Notamacropus eugenii: one gene and its partner. The protein of the gene in region 1 purifies or fractionates together with the protein of each later gene. This does not show direct contact. Links are inferred from orthologs where the notes say so. Each region holds a gene or a part of one and is shown in the gene's direction. Other genes may lie near its edges.

Evidence for each region. Proteins that work in one complex are often made in the same cells at the same time.
Region 2: the proteins of WDR48 (region 1) and ATAD5 purify together in Homo sapiens (affinity purification with western blotting; 3 studies listed by BioGRID). This does not show direct contact. The link is inferred for Notamacropus eugenii from reciprocal best matches to the Homo sapiens genes WDR48 and ATAD5.

Annotation. Positions count from the first base shown.
Region 1 is NC_092874.1:473,656,774-473,664,064, forward strand, and holds the start of WDR48 (WD repeat-containing protein 48), read left to right. Parts: upstream 1-4,273; 5' UTR 4,274-4,455; coding exon 4,456-4,503; intron 4,504-7,291. UniProt on the Homo sapiens protein: Regulator of deubiquitinating complexes, which acts as a strong activator of USP1, USP12 and USP46. Enhances the USP1-mediated deubiquitination of FANCD2; USP1 being almost inactive by itself.
Region 2 is NC_092873.1:311,746,720-311,754,266, reverse strand, and holds the start of ATAD5 (ATPase family AAA domain-containing protein 5), read left to right. Parts: upstream 1-4,526; 5' UTR 4,527-4,881; coding exon 4,882-4,950; intron 4,951-6,428; coding exon 6,429-7,547. UniProt on the Homo sapiens protein: Has an important role in DNA replication and in maintaining genome integrity during replication stress.

The DNA of each region.
Region 1 (7,291 bases):
TGAGAAAACTGAGGCAAACCGGGTTAAAGGTCACACAGCTGGTAATTGTCTAAGGTAAGATCACTTCCATTTGAATTGTTTTAGGAAGATTCTGAAGATCATTGGCAAGAGAAAGTACCAGACACCGAGCTCCTTTCTGAAGGACCAACTGAACTTCCAAGCATTCAAATTCTACAGCAGAGAGTACAACTCCAATGGACTGGCCATGCTGTTCAAATACCAAATACCAAAAATACTATTTTATGGAGTCCTCACACAAGGGAAGTGCTCTCATGGAGGTCAGAAGAAGAGATAAAAAGACACTCTGAAGGTCTCTCATGAGAGACACTGGGATAGGACCATCCAGTATGGTATGCCCTCATCAAAAAAGGTGCTATGTTCTACAAGCAAACCAGAATTGCAGTAGCTCAAAAAAAATGAGCTGAGCAAATCGACTCTAAATGTTCATATGGACCATTTGTGCCCAACCTGTGGTAAAGCCTTCTAAGCTCCTATTGGTCTGATCAGCTATGGGCAGACACACCGCACGTTGACCCTGACATAGTGATGTCATTTTGGTCTTCTGTGAAAACAAAGGACTACAACCAACCACTCATATTGTCAAAATACTTTCCAAGAGCTAAGGCCCAACAAGCAGGCTGTGCCCTGAACTTGGCAATAACAACAGTCCTTGGCACTCTGGATGTTCTCACCCTCTGGCAAAGTGAGTACCAGGTATTCACTCCCACTATTTCCCAGGGACCTGACGGCCAACATCCATCACGTCTCTGACATGCTCACAATCCCTGTTCCTTGTACTGTTCTCCTGTTCCTCTCACAGAATTCTTGTTTTTTACCCCAGAGTAATCATGTCCCTCAAGACGTGGAACAATACAAGTCCCATGGGAACGTAGTACCTCAAGACCTAAAAATGATTGTTATCGTCCAACCCAGTATGTATAGAAGCACTGCTTCTACCCCAACACATTTAAGCCCTTCTACTCAGGACTTCCACTAGAGAGTGTTTTCCTCACCCTGAAACTAATTAAGCCACTATTTGATTCCAGACACGCCTCTTCTGTTTAGGCTCCCAAGTTCCCAAGTTAGAGACTGGTCCAGTCTGGACTGCAGATATATAATATATATATATACACACAGATGTATATACTTCTCTTTACCCTTAGAATATAAGCTCCTTGAACATAGGAATTATTTCATTGTTATTGTACCCCAGTCCCTAGGACATAGGTGATTAGGAAGAAACCCCATTCTACATTGGGACATCTCTAATTATTAGGGGATTTCAATTATATTGAGCCAAAAGGTGCCTCCCAGGAACTGTTCCTGGTACTATTTTCCAGTCCAGAGCCAAGTAAAGTCAAGTCAGATCTCTCCTGCACATGGCAGTCCTTCAAATAACTGAAAATATTGAGCACATGCCCATTTGGCATTCTTCCCCCCACTACCCTGTGACTAGGCCAGAGTATGGCCAGAATCTCCCCCTTACTGCCACTGTGCTTCTTATAGGAAAAATAAAGAACCCATGAGTCTTTTGGGTGGCCCCATTACACCCTGAATACATTCAGAGCTCATGGTCTACTTCATTTTAACCATTGCCACCCCATTTCTCAGTCATCTGTTCTTTTCAAATTGATCTTTTACTACAAGCATCAAACTACATACATGCCCCTATTGAACTTTGTAGGGAGACTAACAAGGTTTTGGCAGGAAGGCAGCACGAAAGTTGGGAAATGCCTCAGAGTGGCAGGAATGTGGAAGGAGAGGCTGAGGACTTTAGTCACCCATCTTGGGCAGACACACTGCACCCATCCTTCAGTTTATTGGCATGTCAATATGTTGTGGGGGGGGGAGTGCATTATGGGAGCAAAGGGGAATCACTTTAATCCAGTTTCAACCAAGCTTCTATAGGGTTTGGATGGATGGAGTTCTAGAAATGGCTTTTAGGGATTCCTGTGCCATACAGGAATCTTGGGACAGGAACCTCAAGTATACCACAAGAGAAAAACAATCAAGAGAACAGATCTCATCTTAGAATGTCATATCTGTCAGCTTCTGCTTGCTGCTTGGCGGGACATGAAGGTTTGAAGCTATATACTAAGCCCAGCAGGCAGATAGAGCAGTGGAGACATCCCATTGGGCAGAGATTACAGGAAGAAGTCTGGAGTCCTGATACCCAGCAGAGATGACAGGCACCCAACAGATCAGTGTGACTGCTTCAAAGCGGTTCATGTTCTCTCTTGCTCCTCTCTGCTGGGTAATGGGTCATCTCAGTTAGGCATGGAGTCACCTTGGCTGGGAATCGTGTCTCAGCTCTCCATGGAGTATGCCCACTGGTCTCATCAATGCCAAATTTCTCTTTCCTGCCATCCTCTGGGCTCTGGTGGTCAGTAGGCCTCTCCCTTGTCAAAATAAATGGATGCGACTTTCCAGAAGTCAATCTTACTATTGAGGGAGCAGGTGAAGATCAAGCTATGCTGTGAAGAATACATGGTATCACACATGCGTGACTGTGACTTCCATCTATAGGAGATGGCAGACCAAAAGATGAAAAGCTAACGGTGTGTACTAGGCTAGTAAAAAAAAAAAAGCATCACGTTGAGAGCCAAGAAGGACACGGCTCCATCGGCTGGATCGCTCCTACATCCTTCCTTACATCCTGTAAATGTAACCCCTGGGAGTCGGAAAGGAGCACACAGATGTAAGGAGAAACTCTCTGCCCTGGAAGATTCCCAGCAGCGGCTGGGTGAGGGGGTCGCCCTTACTAGCAAGTGCAATGAGTCAAGGGCCTTCAAGGGCCCTTCACCATTAGATATTCAACGATTTTGCTCCAATCACAATTCCCAGTGAAGCCATTTGTTTCATAGATAAAAAGGTTCCTTGACAAATAGATGGTCACTCACAAAAGGAAGACAGTGTAAAATGACGGCAACTATCCAGGGCTGGGAAATGGCTCAGCCCCGTGGTAGTGACCTCGGGGTGTGCCAGGCACACACACCCCTCCGGTTAACGTTCTTCAAGGCTACAGTCCTTAAGTCATTTCAGTCATGTCCAATTCCTCATGACCCCATCTGGGGTTTTCTTGGCAAAGAAACTAAAGGGGTTTGCTGTTTTCTTCTCCCACACATTTTACAGATGAGGAAACTGAGGCAGTGTTAAGGGACTTGCCCAGGGTTACACAGCTACTGCATGTCTGGTTCGTCTTGATGCCAAGCCCAGAATTCTACCTTCTAGGGTAAGGGGATGCAACATGCTCAGAGTGAATCAGAAGATGTCCAAAGTAAAGCCAGTGATTTGGGCAGTGCCCCTCGGGGGCAGCCAGTGTCCCTTCCTGGCACATGGCATCGCGTCCCTTCACCTTCAGAGAGATTGGGGCAAACCAGTAAAAGAGGCCCAGAGCCCGCAGGGAGGGTGACCCCACCAGCCTGGTGCCCTGCGCAGGGCGGCAGGTGAGTGGTGGCACCACATCAGCGGTACCACCGGGGAGCTGGACCCCGAGGCCCCTAAGTCCTGCTCTCCAGGAAGACATCATTTATAGGCCTGAGCTGACCTTTAGAAACACAGTGGGGGGTTGGGGGGGGTCCCTGCCCTCACGGGCTTACCTCCTAGCATGCTGGCTTACAAGCCTTTCCCAACTCCAGACGGCCCGAGGGCGGGCCCACACTCCAATGAGGTCCATGAAGGGGGTAGCTTAGTTTCCCGGGCCCCTCGCTTGCCTCTCTCCGGGCCCTTCACCACTCCCTCCGTCCCTTTGTGACGCGCAGGCACGCACTGCCCGGGTGTCAGGCTGCGGCCCGAGGCTTCACAAAGGGCAGAGGCCAGGCCCTCGAGGTGCCCGAGTGACCGCAGCTGGCCTTCCCGGGCGATCCCTCTTCGGCCCTTCCCCCTCTCCTTCCTCTCCCCGCCCCGCCCCTCCCCCCGCCCGGCTCTCCCCAGCTCCCTAGGAAGCCCCGCCCCCGCCCCGCCCCCCTCCCTTCCTCTGCGGAGGCCCCGGCCCCTCCACCGCCCCGCTGAGCTCCCCACGCCCCCCCAGGACGGTCGCGCGTTCTCCCACGCCCCCGCACTGCCGCGCCCCCTCTCACCCTCTTCCTGACACCTGGACCCCCGCCCCTTCGGGCCCCCTCCGGGACCGCCCGCCCCCTTCCCCCTTGCTGCCTCCCCCCGCCCCGCTGCCCTTTGGCCCGGCGCTGCCCCCGCCCACCCCGCTCCGCCTCGTTGTCGGCCGCGCCCTGGCCCCGCCCCCGGCCGCCCCGCCGCCGCAGGGCCCCGCCCCCGCGGTTCCTCCCCCCGCTCTGGACCCGCCCCCAGGCCGCGGCTCGTGAGGACCCTTTGGCCCGCTCGCGCCCTCTGCCGGCAACTGCCCTCGAGAGGGAGCCTGGTGCCGCGGGGCCGCCCAGGAAAGGAGGCGGGACATCCTCCCTCCTTTCCGGAAGTGACGCGGGAGTGTCAACATGCAAGATGGCGGCGCATCACCGACAGAATACGGCGGGGCGGCGGAAAGTGCAGGTGAGGGGCGCCGGGGACGGAGCGCAAGACCCTCCGGGGACCGCCCCCCAGCCCGGGCGCCTCCCGAGCCCCGCGGGCCGGGCCCCGCCGACTCAGCGCCGAGGTCGCCGCGGGCGGAAGGTGGGGGGAGGCGGGAGCGGAATGAGGCCGGCCTGGGCCCCGCTGTCCTGGCGCGCCCGCCGGGGTTGTGGGGAGGGGGCCGGGGGCCGCTACCTCGAGTTCCCGGCCCATACGTCCGCCGGCCCGTGGGGCTGCGGAGCCGCGACCGTCCGTGACCGTGAGCGGGGCCCGCGCCCGCAGCCCCAGACCCGGGGGCGTCCCCGGAGGTCCCCGACCCCGGCTGCCCCCCACCCCGGCAGAGCCGGTCACCTCCGCCCCCGGACCGGCCGGCCGGCCACCCGCGGGGGCCGCTCGGGCCAACGGCCCCGCCCCGTGGGGACAACGGTCACGCCCCGAGCGCCCCGGGCCGGGGGAGGCCGAGGGCCGGTGACCCCCGGGGGCGGAGGCCGCGTGGCCCGGCGCGGATCACCCGGAGGTGGGGCCCCGCGGGGCGCACTGTGCCCTCGGCTAGGTCTGGTCCGGCCCCTTGTGGGGTCCGTAGGCCGGTGCCCCCCACACACACGCCGCCCACGTGTGGCCCTCGGACCAGGCGCAGCCGCCTCGCTTCTCCCGGAAAGTCGTTCCGAGGTGTCACCTCGCAGGGGGCGCCGGGGCCCCGACCCGTCCGAGCGGGGTGCGCCCCCGTAAGACTTGGAGAGGCCCGAGCCTCGGCCCCAGGGGGTCCTCGCGTCTGCCCGTCTGCCCGCTCCGGGAGCGCCGGGCCCAGGGTCCCCGCTGCCCGGCCATCGCCGCCTTCCCCTCCGGAGCCTGTGCGGGCTTGGGGAGGGCCCCGCCGGCCGGCCTCTGCCGTCTGCGGAGGGCTCCGGAGCGCGCTGGGAGTGGGGGGGCCTGTACCTCCTGTCTCCAGGTGGGGGGAAGTGACCGGAGCACAGACCCAAACCTGAAGCGCCTCGTCCTCTGGGAGCTCACCCCGAGTCTGTGCAGAGATGCAGAGATGGGGCGGGGTCACCTGGGCCGGGGGAGTCCAGCCCAAATAGAGGTAACCCCCACGGAACTGTAGAAGGGGGGGCTGCAGATGGGCGTCATTTTAAAATACATTATCCGTGTTTCGTGGCGGTTTTGTTCATGTTGCTCGCTATTTCCCAATCACATTTTAATCTGGTTTGAGGCCGCCCTCAGGTGTGTCCTTTGGGCCAGAGTTTGACATCTCTGATGCAGAAGGCAGGTCCCGAGCCAAGGTTTAAAGGAATCCTCCCAGATAAGGGGGAGGGGGTGGGAAGAGACAGGAGACTGTGCTGTGGGAGCCACAGCCAGAAGGTGTCTTGGCCAGATGGCCAAGAGGACGGTCCAGAACAGTCTTGGGACCCAGCCAGGAGGGAGGACTACTACAGCTCATTCAGGTGGCCCAGAGAGCGGGCCTCTAAGCCAGGCAGTGCTCCAGGCCCTCGGACCGTGGGTCAGAGAAGGTGCTGACTTAGAAGAAATTCCCATCTTGGAGTTCGCTGTACCATTGAAATAGCTGGGTGTGTGTGATCAGGAAGCAGTAGATCCCACTGAGTATTGTCTAGGGCCTTAGCAGCCAGGCCTGGAGTTGCCTAAGGGAACCTCCACAAATCACGTTTAGTTGATCGTGTTAAATGAATGAATGAATGCATGCATGAGCATTTATTAAATACTTACTAGGTGCTAACATCTGCTATAAGTTCTGGGGATAGTCTTAGAAAAAAACCAAGTCTCACCTCACAGAATTGGCATTGGCAAGTCCCCACATGAGGGAGTGATGTCCAGGGAGACCCTTTAGTCTAGAATGTTACAGGGTTGTGCAATAAATGGACCCATTCCATCCCAAAATAATGACGGAGTCACTTTGTTCATGGTTCTAGAGCTGTTGGAGAGAGGAAAGGGGAAGGGTTTGCAGTTTTGAAGACTCTTGCCTGTTGGTGGGCAGCAGTTCACACTGAAACCTGTGGTTATCTCGATAAGAACGCTAGTCCATAAGAGACCACTTACTGTGCTGTTCCCCCAGGAGGCCCCACCTCCGAAAGCATCATTCTTTTAAAGGGAAAAGCTGTGTTATCTGTATCATCTGAAAAGTACCAGATGATGATGGGCCTCACTCCCTCATCTCTAAAGAGTGAACGCTCCCTGAGTGTTCACTGGCACTGGCTCCTGCTCTGCCAGCGTGTGTGCTTCCAGTGGTGAGTGCATCAGAGCAGTGAGAGCTTGATAAGTTACAGAGATCCCTTGTTTACATCTGAAACACAGAACTGAAATTTCTTAGTAATGACAAAGTTATGAAAATGGCCTTGGTTTGAATTGTAAAGAATTCTGTCACTCAGGCATCACTTTTTCTTTGTTTTATATTTTAACATCATGGGATAAACTTAAAATTTATTGGATCTTGAGAAGCCATCTAATCTAAATTCCTATCCAATCCAGGAAATACACGTAGCACTTTAAGGTTTCCTCACACCATTGCTTTATTTGGGCCTCAAAACAGCCCCATCAGGTAAACACTAACAGGTATCATCATTATTGTTATTGGATTGGGGGGCAGGATTTGAGGCAGTCAGGGTTGGGTGACTTGCCCAGGGTCACACAGCTAGTAGGTGTTTGAGGTGGGATTTGAACTGAGGTCCTCCTGACTCCGGGGCTAGTACTCTATCCACTGTGCCACCCCACTGCCGCCCTCACAACAACCTTTAGGGGTAGATCATGTAAGTTTTCA
Region 2 (7,547 bases), on another chromosome or scaffold:
CATTTGGGTGTGTTAAAGTTGATGAACTCCCTGGTGACGAAGTGATGAAAGGACTTGGAATTTTGGTTTGACATGGCAAACCCAGAAGGATTTCTTAGTTTTCCCTCTGCCTATTACAGTAGAAGTGAGATAGACAGTGCTTCATGAGTTAAAAGAAGATAAAGCTTCTAGCGCAGTCCTCTGCTTTAATTATGCCATGCAACAAATATAGTGCTATATATCCCCAAAGCAGGTTGGAGCGATAGGCTGTCCTCTGTTACCCCACCTCCTGACCATTTTCATGTAGAACATGGTCTCAGCTAGGCCAGCTTCTATCTGGGCCCTAGATGCCTTTTCTTTTTTCTTTTTTGGAAGTAGTGGGGTTAAGTGACTTTCCCAGGGTCAGACTGTTACTGAGTGTCTTCCTGATTGCCTTTTCTATTTTGTGTTTACTTTCCTGTGTAATACATAATTTTCAAGGTTTGGAGAAGACCTTATAAGTTTAAGACACCCAGAGGTCTTGGGTCCAATAAGTGGAGTTGACTCCACTCAGCAACAAGAAAGGTTTCTGAAAAGTTTCAGAAAAGTCAGTCATTGACAAGAAAAACCCCAGTCCCAGCACCAGCTTACCTAAAGAAACTGACTTTGAAGGAAACAATGCAGAACCAAGGTGAAATATAAAATGTCTATAAACAGTGGTTCTGCAAAGTTCACACTTAGTTTTAATGAGTCTAAGTCTCTTAGTCAAGAACAGTAGTTATCACTGACTGGTTTAGTTTATTTTATGTAATTTTTATTTTAGTTTATCTTTTGTCAGCTAGCAAACATTAATTTTCTCTTCTGCCCATTTTCCTCCTTGCTGATGAAAAAGAAAAACAAAACTCTTGTAATACATATGCATAGTAAAGCAAAAACACATTGGTCATATCCAAAATGTATGTCTCATTCTGTACCATGAATCTATCACCCCTCTGTCAGGAGTTGGGTACATGCTTCATCATCAAACCTATGAAACTGTGGTTGATCATTGGATTGATCAGAGTTCTTAAGTCTTTACTTCAGTTCAAGCATGATTTGCTCACACCTCTTATTTTAACTCCGTGTGAACCTGTTTCAAATATGTTTCTCTTGTAAACAACATATTGTTGGATTCTGCTTTCTAATCCATTTTGCTATTCTCTTCTGTTTTATGAGTGATTTCATCCCATTTCCATTGACAGTTGGGATCATTAATTGCATATTTCCTTTCATCCTATCCTTTTATATCTTTCCATGTTTCCCCCACACACATACACACCACACCCCTAATAAGGAGGTAGTGAGAGAGGAGGAATGTGCTCAGCACCAGTGGCCTAGGTTTGGTATAGTCTGCTTCTGCTCTCCTGCCCCTCTTCTCTTTCCTTCACACAGAGCCCTCTCACAGGTTCTCTTTCTTTTTTTTTCTTTTCAACTTCATAATCTGTTCTACCTATCTTAGTGTTTGGTTTGGTTAGGGTTAATCCCTCCCTTAAATACTCTTTATTATCCTTTCTCTCTTTTCCCTTTCCTTCCTGTTACCCTGTTGAGTGAAATGTATTTCTGTGCCCAATCGTGTTTGCATGTTCTTCCCTCTTTTAACCAGTTCAGATAAGAGTATGGGTCAAGTGTTACCTACTTCCTCCAACCTCTTCCTCCTTATTTGTATAGTTTTCTATTCCAGCATCCTGAATACATAATTTTCCTTCTCCTTTCTCTCTCTTTCTCCCCATTCCTCTCCCTCCCCAGTATATTCCTTTTCCCTGTCCTTTCTTCTTCTAAGACTATCAAAACATGACAAAACCTCTTCCAGGCCATCTGGCTTCTTAGACTCCATGGCTCTTGATGAGTTCTGATGGGACACATATATCATCCCCTTATATTAAAATGTAAACAGTTCATCTTTGTTTAGTCCATTATGATTGTTTACTCATATTTCTCTTGACTTCTGTATTTGTATTTTTCCTATACAACTTGATTTTTTTTCCCTCAAGAATGCTTAGAACTCCCCTATTTCATTAAAGATCTATTTTTATCCCTCTAGCATTATGTTTCAGTGGGTAAATTATTCTGTTTGTAAGCCTATATCTTTCCCTTTTTGGAACATCAAATTCCAAGCTCTCCACTCTCCTATAGTGGTAGCTATTAAATTATCTACAACCCTGACTATAGATCCTCAATACCTGAATTCTTTCTTTCTTGTTGCTTGCAGTATTTTTTTATTTTAACCTGAAAATTCTAGACTTTGGATATGGTGTTCCTGGGAATTTTCATTTTTGGTGTTTCCTTTACATAAGGGGACCAGAGGGTTCCATTTTCACTTTGTTCTCTTGATCTAAGAAATCTGGGCAGTTGTCTTTTATGATTTCTTGAAATTTGATCTCTAGACTCTTTTTTGGGTCATGGCTTTCAGGTTTCAATGATTCTCAAATTATCTCATCAATCTGTTTTCCAGGTAAGTTGTTCTGGCTATGAAATGTCTTACATTTTCTCATATTTTTTTAATCTTTTGACTTTGTTTTGATATTTCTTGTTGGTTCAGGGAGTTGTTAACTTCTACTTGGTTCATTCTAATTTTGGGGGAGTTTGTTGCTTGAGTAAGCTTGCGTGTAGCTGTTCATTCCCCTTCTAATTCTTTCTTGTTCTTTTTTTCCATCCCCCCACATTCTCATTTTATTCATGAAAACATCTTTAAAAATATTTTAAAAACATGTTTTAAAAAAAACTATTTGCTTCATATTCCCCATGAATTATAGTTGAACTTGTGCCTAAGCTATGTTTTTCTTTTGTTTTCTCGTAGATGTTCTGGAGTCATTATCTTCTTTTGGGTTTGTGTCCTAAGCATCCTGGTCACCATGACATCTTTTTATGGGAAGATTCTTTTTTTTGTTTGTTTCATCAGCCTTTCAGCCTACTTCTTTACTTCAGACTTTGTTAGGGCAAAGCTCTCATAATTCTGGAAAGAATGTCTGGGTTTAGTCTCTTGGGTCCTGCTACTGCTTTCTTGGAGTGTTGACTATTGAGTAATTGTAGGATCTCAGGGAGCTGCTCAGGCTGGGGACCTGAACACTTTGAGTGGTGCCAAAATCAGGGCAAAGTCTGATCACTGTCGCCTAGTCTGAGCTTGGCAAGTTCCTGGCCTGTGTTTAGATTTGTTCTCGTGTATTTCCTAGATTTTTGTGGAGGAACTATGTTAGGCAGCTCATTGTACGTCCTGATGTGGTTCCTTTTTCTTTCTGTTTTCATCATGGGAAATGAAGGCAGGGTTAGTGCTATTATAACCAAAATAAGATCTTTTTTTAAAATGAGGAGATGAAAATATAAAGAAGTGTACTTCAGATGGAAGTACAAGCAGGGTAGTTTTGAAAATAACTTGTGGAATTGATCATATATCTAAAGAAAAGCAAGCTTAGGAAATGGAGAGTTGCAGTTCCATGGAGAATCCTTTTCTTTTTTATTGGTCTACTGCTGCATATATGGAAATGCCCTTTTTTCTTATTTACATTCAGAATTAAATTTTTTAAAAAATAATAATTTGACTACTATCGGCCACCTAGTTTCATTGGAGGGTTTTCAGTGGGCACGAGATGACTTTCCCAAATGCCTCAGAGATCAAGCTCTTCCATCAGGCTCCCAATTCTTTCAGTCCGAGCTCACACAGCTCTTGATGGGGGGGCCCTGCGCCCAACTCAATACTGATCTCAGGGTGTCGAAAAAGAGAATGAAATCTCTCTCTGAAATATTAACACGATAGAAATCTGCTTTTCCTTCCTTCCGACCGATCGCTTCTCGTAGATGGCCCGCAGACAATCCACTAGGAGGGCACGTAACAAAGACAATGAACAAAACTTCTGCCTCTCTCGGACCTTCCTAACCACCTGAGGGCATGGGAGGAGGGCTGGGTATCGGGCTGCGGGCCACCGACTCCTCTCCGGGATTTCGAGACCTTAAGGCCTTATGCCTTTGCAAGTCCAGCGGGGGAATGCCGGGAGGGGCTTGGGGAGCCTCCCCGCAGCGGCCTGCGCTGTCCCTGCACATCTGTGCTAATTAAAGAGAGCACCCCAAACAGCTTGGGAAGGGCTTTAAATGCCGCGCAGAGGGCTCTGCCATTGACCCGGGGGGATGGGGAGACGCAGGAGCTCCTGAGGAGAGCTGCCCTGCAGGGCTCCGGGCGGCGGCTTCCGTCCTGCCGGGCTGGGGGGCGCGGCGGGTAGAGGGTTGACCCGTCTGGGTCTCCGGGCGGACGCCCCGCAGAGAGCCCGTGGCCAGCCGGCGGGCTTCCTTCCGGAGGGTCCCGGGCAAGGTCCCTTCACTCCTCGGGGCTCAGTTTCCTCCTCCGTAAACGAGGGGATCTGACCGGATGGCTCCGGACTCCCTTCGCTCTCTCAGCCCTTCAGCGGGTGCCCGACCTTCGGACCCCAGAGCGAGGCGGAGTGACTGCGAGGGTCGCCTCCGTTCACGGCGCCGGTTTCTGGCCCTCGCGGGCCGCCATCCACTCCCCGTCCCGGACGTTGCGTAATTGCCCCGCCCCCGCTTCCGGCGCTCCCGGACGGCGCGAAAACCCAATTGACAAGAATCTCTGTCCGCGGAGCTCGGGCCTCCCCAGCCGCCTGCACCCTCCCCCCGCCCTCCCACAGTTCGGACCCCAGTGCAGCCCAGGCGCCCAGACCCTCGAGGGTCGCCCGCTGGCGGGGGGAGGGGGAGACGCCTGCGCACGGCTTCTGGCTTGGGGGTCCCGCGTCCGCGCGCTTTCTGCTGGGGTCTCTTCCCGCGTCCCGCGCTCCCCAGAGCCGGGTCCCGAACGTCATGGTACCCGCGCGCGCCGGCTCCGGATCCGGCGCCGTCCGCTCCTGAGGGCCTGGCAGCCCGGGAGCCGAGCCGGGGACCATGGTCGGGGTGCTGGCCATGGCTGCGGCGGCTCCGGCCCGAGCGCCCGGAAAGGACTTGGACATCCAGGTGAGCCTTGCCCCCTGCCCCAGGCGGGGAGCTCCCCCCCTCCCGGGGCAGCTAGCCCCGGAGCTCTTGGACTGCCCTGGGGGTGGGGCGGGCGCGGAGTACAGTCGAGTCTGGGGGAGGGGGCTGTACCCTTCCTTCCCCCATTGCACTTACAGCAGGTACTTAACAGATGCTCTCTGGGGTCTCAAAGGCCCGTCTGAGGAGGGAACCCCGAGGCCCCGGGTCCGGAGCCGATCTCGATGGTGATGTCCACCACGCGTGGCTCGTGCTTTCTGTGCCTCAGTTTCCTCGCCCATACAATGAGAGCTCCCTTCCACCCCGCAGCTGGGACCCTTCACTCGGTCTGGAGTCTGGATCCCCACCCATCCCCGGTAGCCCCCAGCCCGTCTCTCTGGGGGGCCTTTAATCACGTGGTCTGCCTCCCCCCACCCCACGTTCACCCCTAGACCCTTCCCTCTTAGCCGAGAAGAGGGGCTTCGGCCCCCCAGGGAAGGCTGCGCAGGGCGGTGATCGGGAAAATGACCGAAGCTGCCTTTGCCAGTTTCCCCTTCTTCCACAAATGACAGCTTTGCCAGGAGAACGTCGGCCCGGCGACCAGGGGGTCACCCAGCCAGGTCGTGACGGAAAGCAGTGGCCGAATTTTGTTCTTAGTGAAACATCTCTAGGGAGTTTTGAATTCTGACGGCAACTGAGAGAGAAGCATTTCTTTCCTTCTGTGACTGGAGCAGTCTTTCCGTTTGATCTGTCACACCTGTACGTTTAGTTACATGTAAAATACTTGGCAAGTAATGGTTTTCCTTCTGGTCAACATATGTGAGTTTCCAGACATCAACTTTACTTAGAGATAATTAGAATCAAGCTCAGTGGTTCTCCCCAACTCCCCGTCTTTTGGACTCCCAGCTAGTATTTACACCTTGGAAGAGATGAGACTGGTGAAAAGCAATTTTGGTTTAGAGTTTTGCTTCTTATTAAAAACTCTTTAGGTAAATACTTGAAACAGAACTGTAAAGATTCTCCATGAAACATAAAACAGAAAGTGAGGCACCAATACTGTGGTGTCTGATTTCTGTTAAATATAAGCAGATTACTAATGTATACTAGGCACAAAAAGGATACACGTTACTTCAGAAACCTCCTTTAACACTACTGTGTTGGAAGAAGGTTGGCTACTAGTTCAAAAGACAACAACTTTCAAGACAAATTGGGGCAAATGACTTCCCCTAAAACAGTCCATAAGTCATATAAGTTGCTGTGTTCTAGGTATTTCTAATGTTTTCTTATTTTTCAGATGTAGTTTCCTTATTTGATATACATAAATTAGTAATTTCTATTCTAAAAATATTTTTACTCATTCATTTGTTTATTTAGATAAAAATATTAATTTCTTCTTACTGTTATTATAAGTAGAACTTATATTCTTTTTTTTACATTTTATTTTCCCCTAGTTACATGGTTTTTTTTCTTTTTTAAATTTAAAGCCATGCAAGAAGCAAAGGAAAGAAGATGATGGAGCTTCCTGTAAAACCATTACTGAATATATGTCACCTATAAGGAAAACTGGAGACAAAGTTTTCTCCCCACCAAAATCTAATAACATCTTGGATTATTTTAAAAGGACTTCACCCATAAATGAAAAGTCTTCTATAGCTAAGAAATGCAAGATACAGTCATCTAAACCATTGCATTTTGATGATAGCAAAGAAGGGAAAACACTTTTGAACAATTCCTCCAATTTAGAGCCTAAGTCAAGGGGAAAGAGAATTAATTTATCTCAACAACTTAATGATATTAAAAAATTGGAAAATGAACCCATAATTATTAGTAGTGATGACAGCAGAGAAGAAACAAGCTTAAATAATGTTTTTGTGGGTAGTGACAGTGATACTTCTGGTTTACTTACTCGGAAAAATGTAGAGCCCTTCTCAGAAAGTAGTCAGAGTAACAATAAGCAATCAAGCACAACGTCCTCCCAAAAAGACAGAAAGAAAGTAAACGCTGAACAAAGCATCACAAAAAATGACTGCAAAAAATTAAGGAAAAGGAAGCACAAAGATGATAAAGACCTAACTAGAAATTTATCATTAGAAAAAGAATCCAGCCAACAATCCAAAAAGGAACCCAAGGACAATAAGCAAAAAACAGAACTCAAAACTGGTGAAATTGTGGATTTTGCAAGTGATTCCAGCCCTGGAGTTCATGTGTCTGACACAGCCCAGGTAAATGATAATACGGTAACTGTATCCTATGAAGAATTTTTAAGAAGTCAGGAAGTAAACCCATTGGAGCACATACAAGGACCAAAAATGTCCGATACTCCTGATGATGTTGGTAAAAGTGGGAACACTAGTGAGCCTGAAGGCAGTGAAAGTTCCCAGCAGCTGCCCCTTAAAAAAGTGACTGTTCTTGCACAAATTCATGCTGTGCCACCCAAGCCTATTTCAAGGATTAAAGGGAAAAGGACTCTCAAAATACCATCAATTTTCTTGAAACAAAAGGAAAATGAAATTGGGAATAAACTTCCTGAGCCTGAAAATGAACAGACAGTTCAGAAAAGAAAATCCAATGTAGTTATAGCAGAGGAAGAATTAGAATTGGCT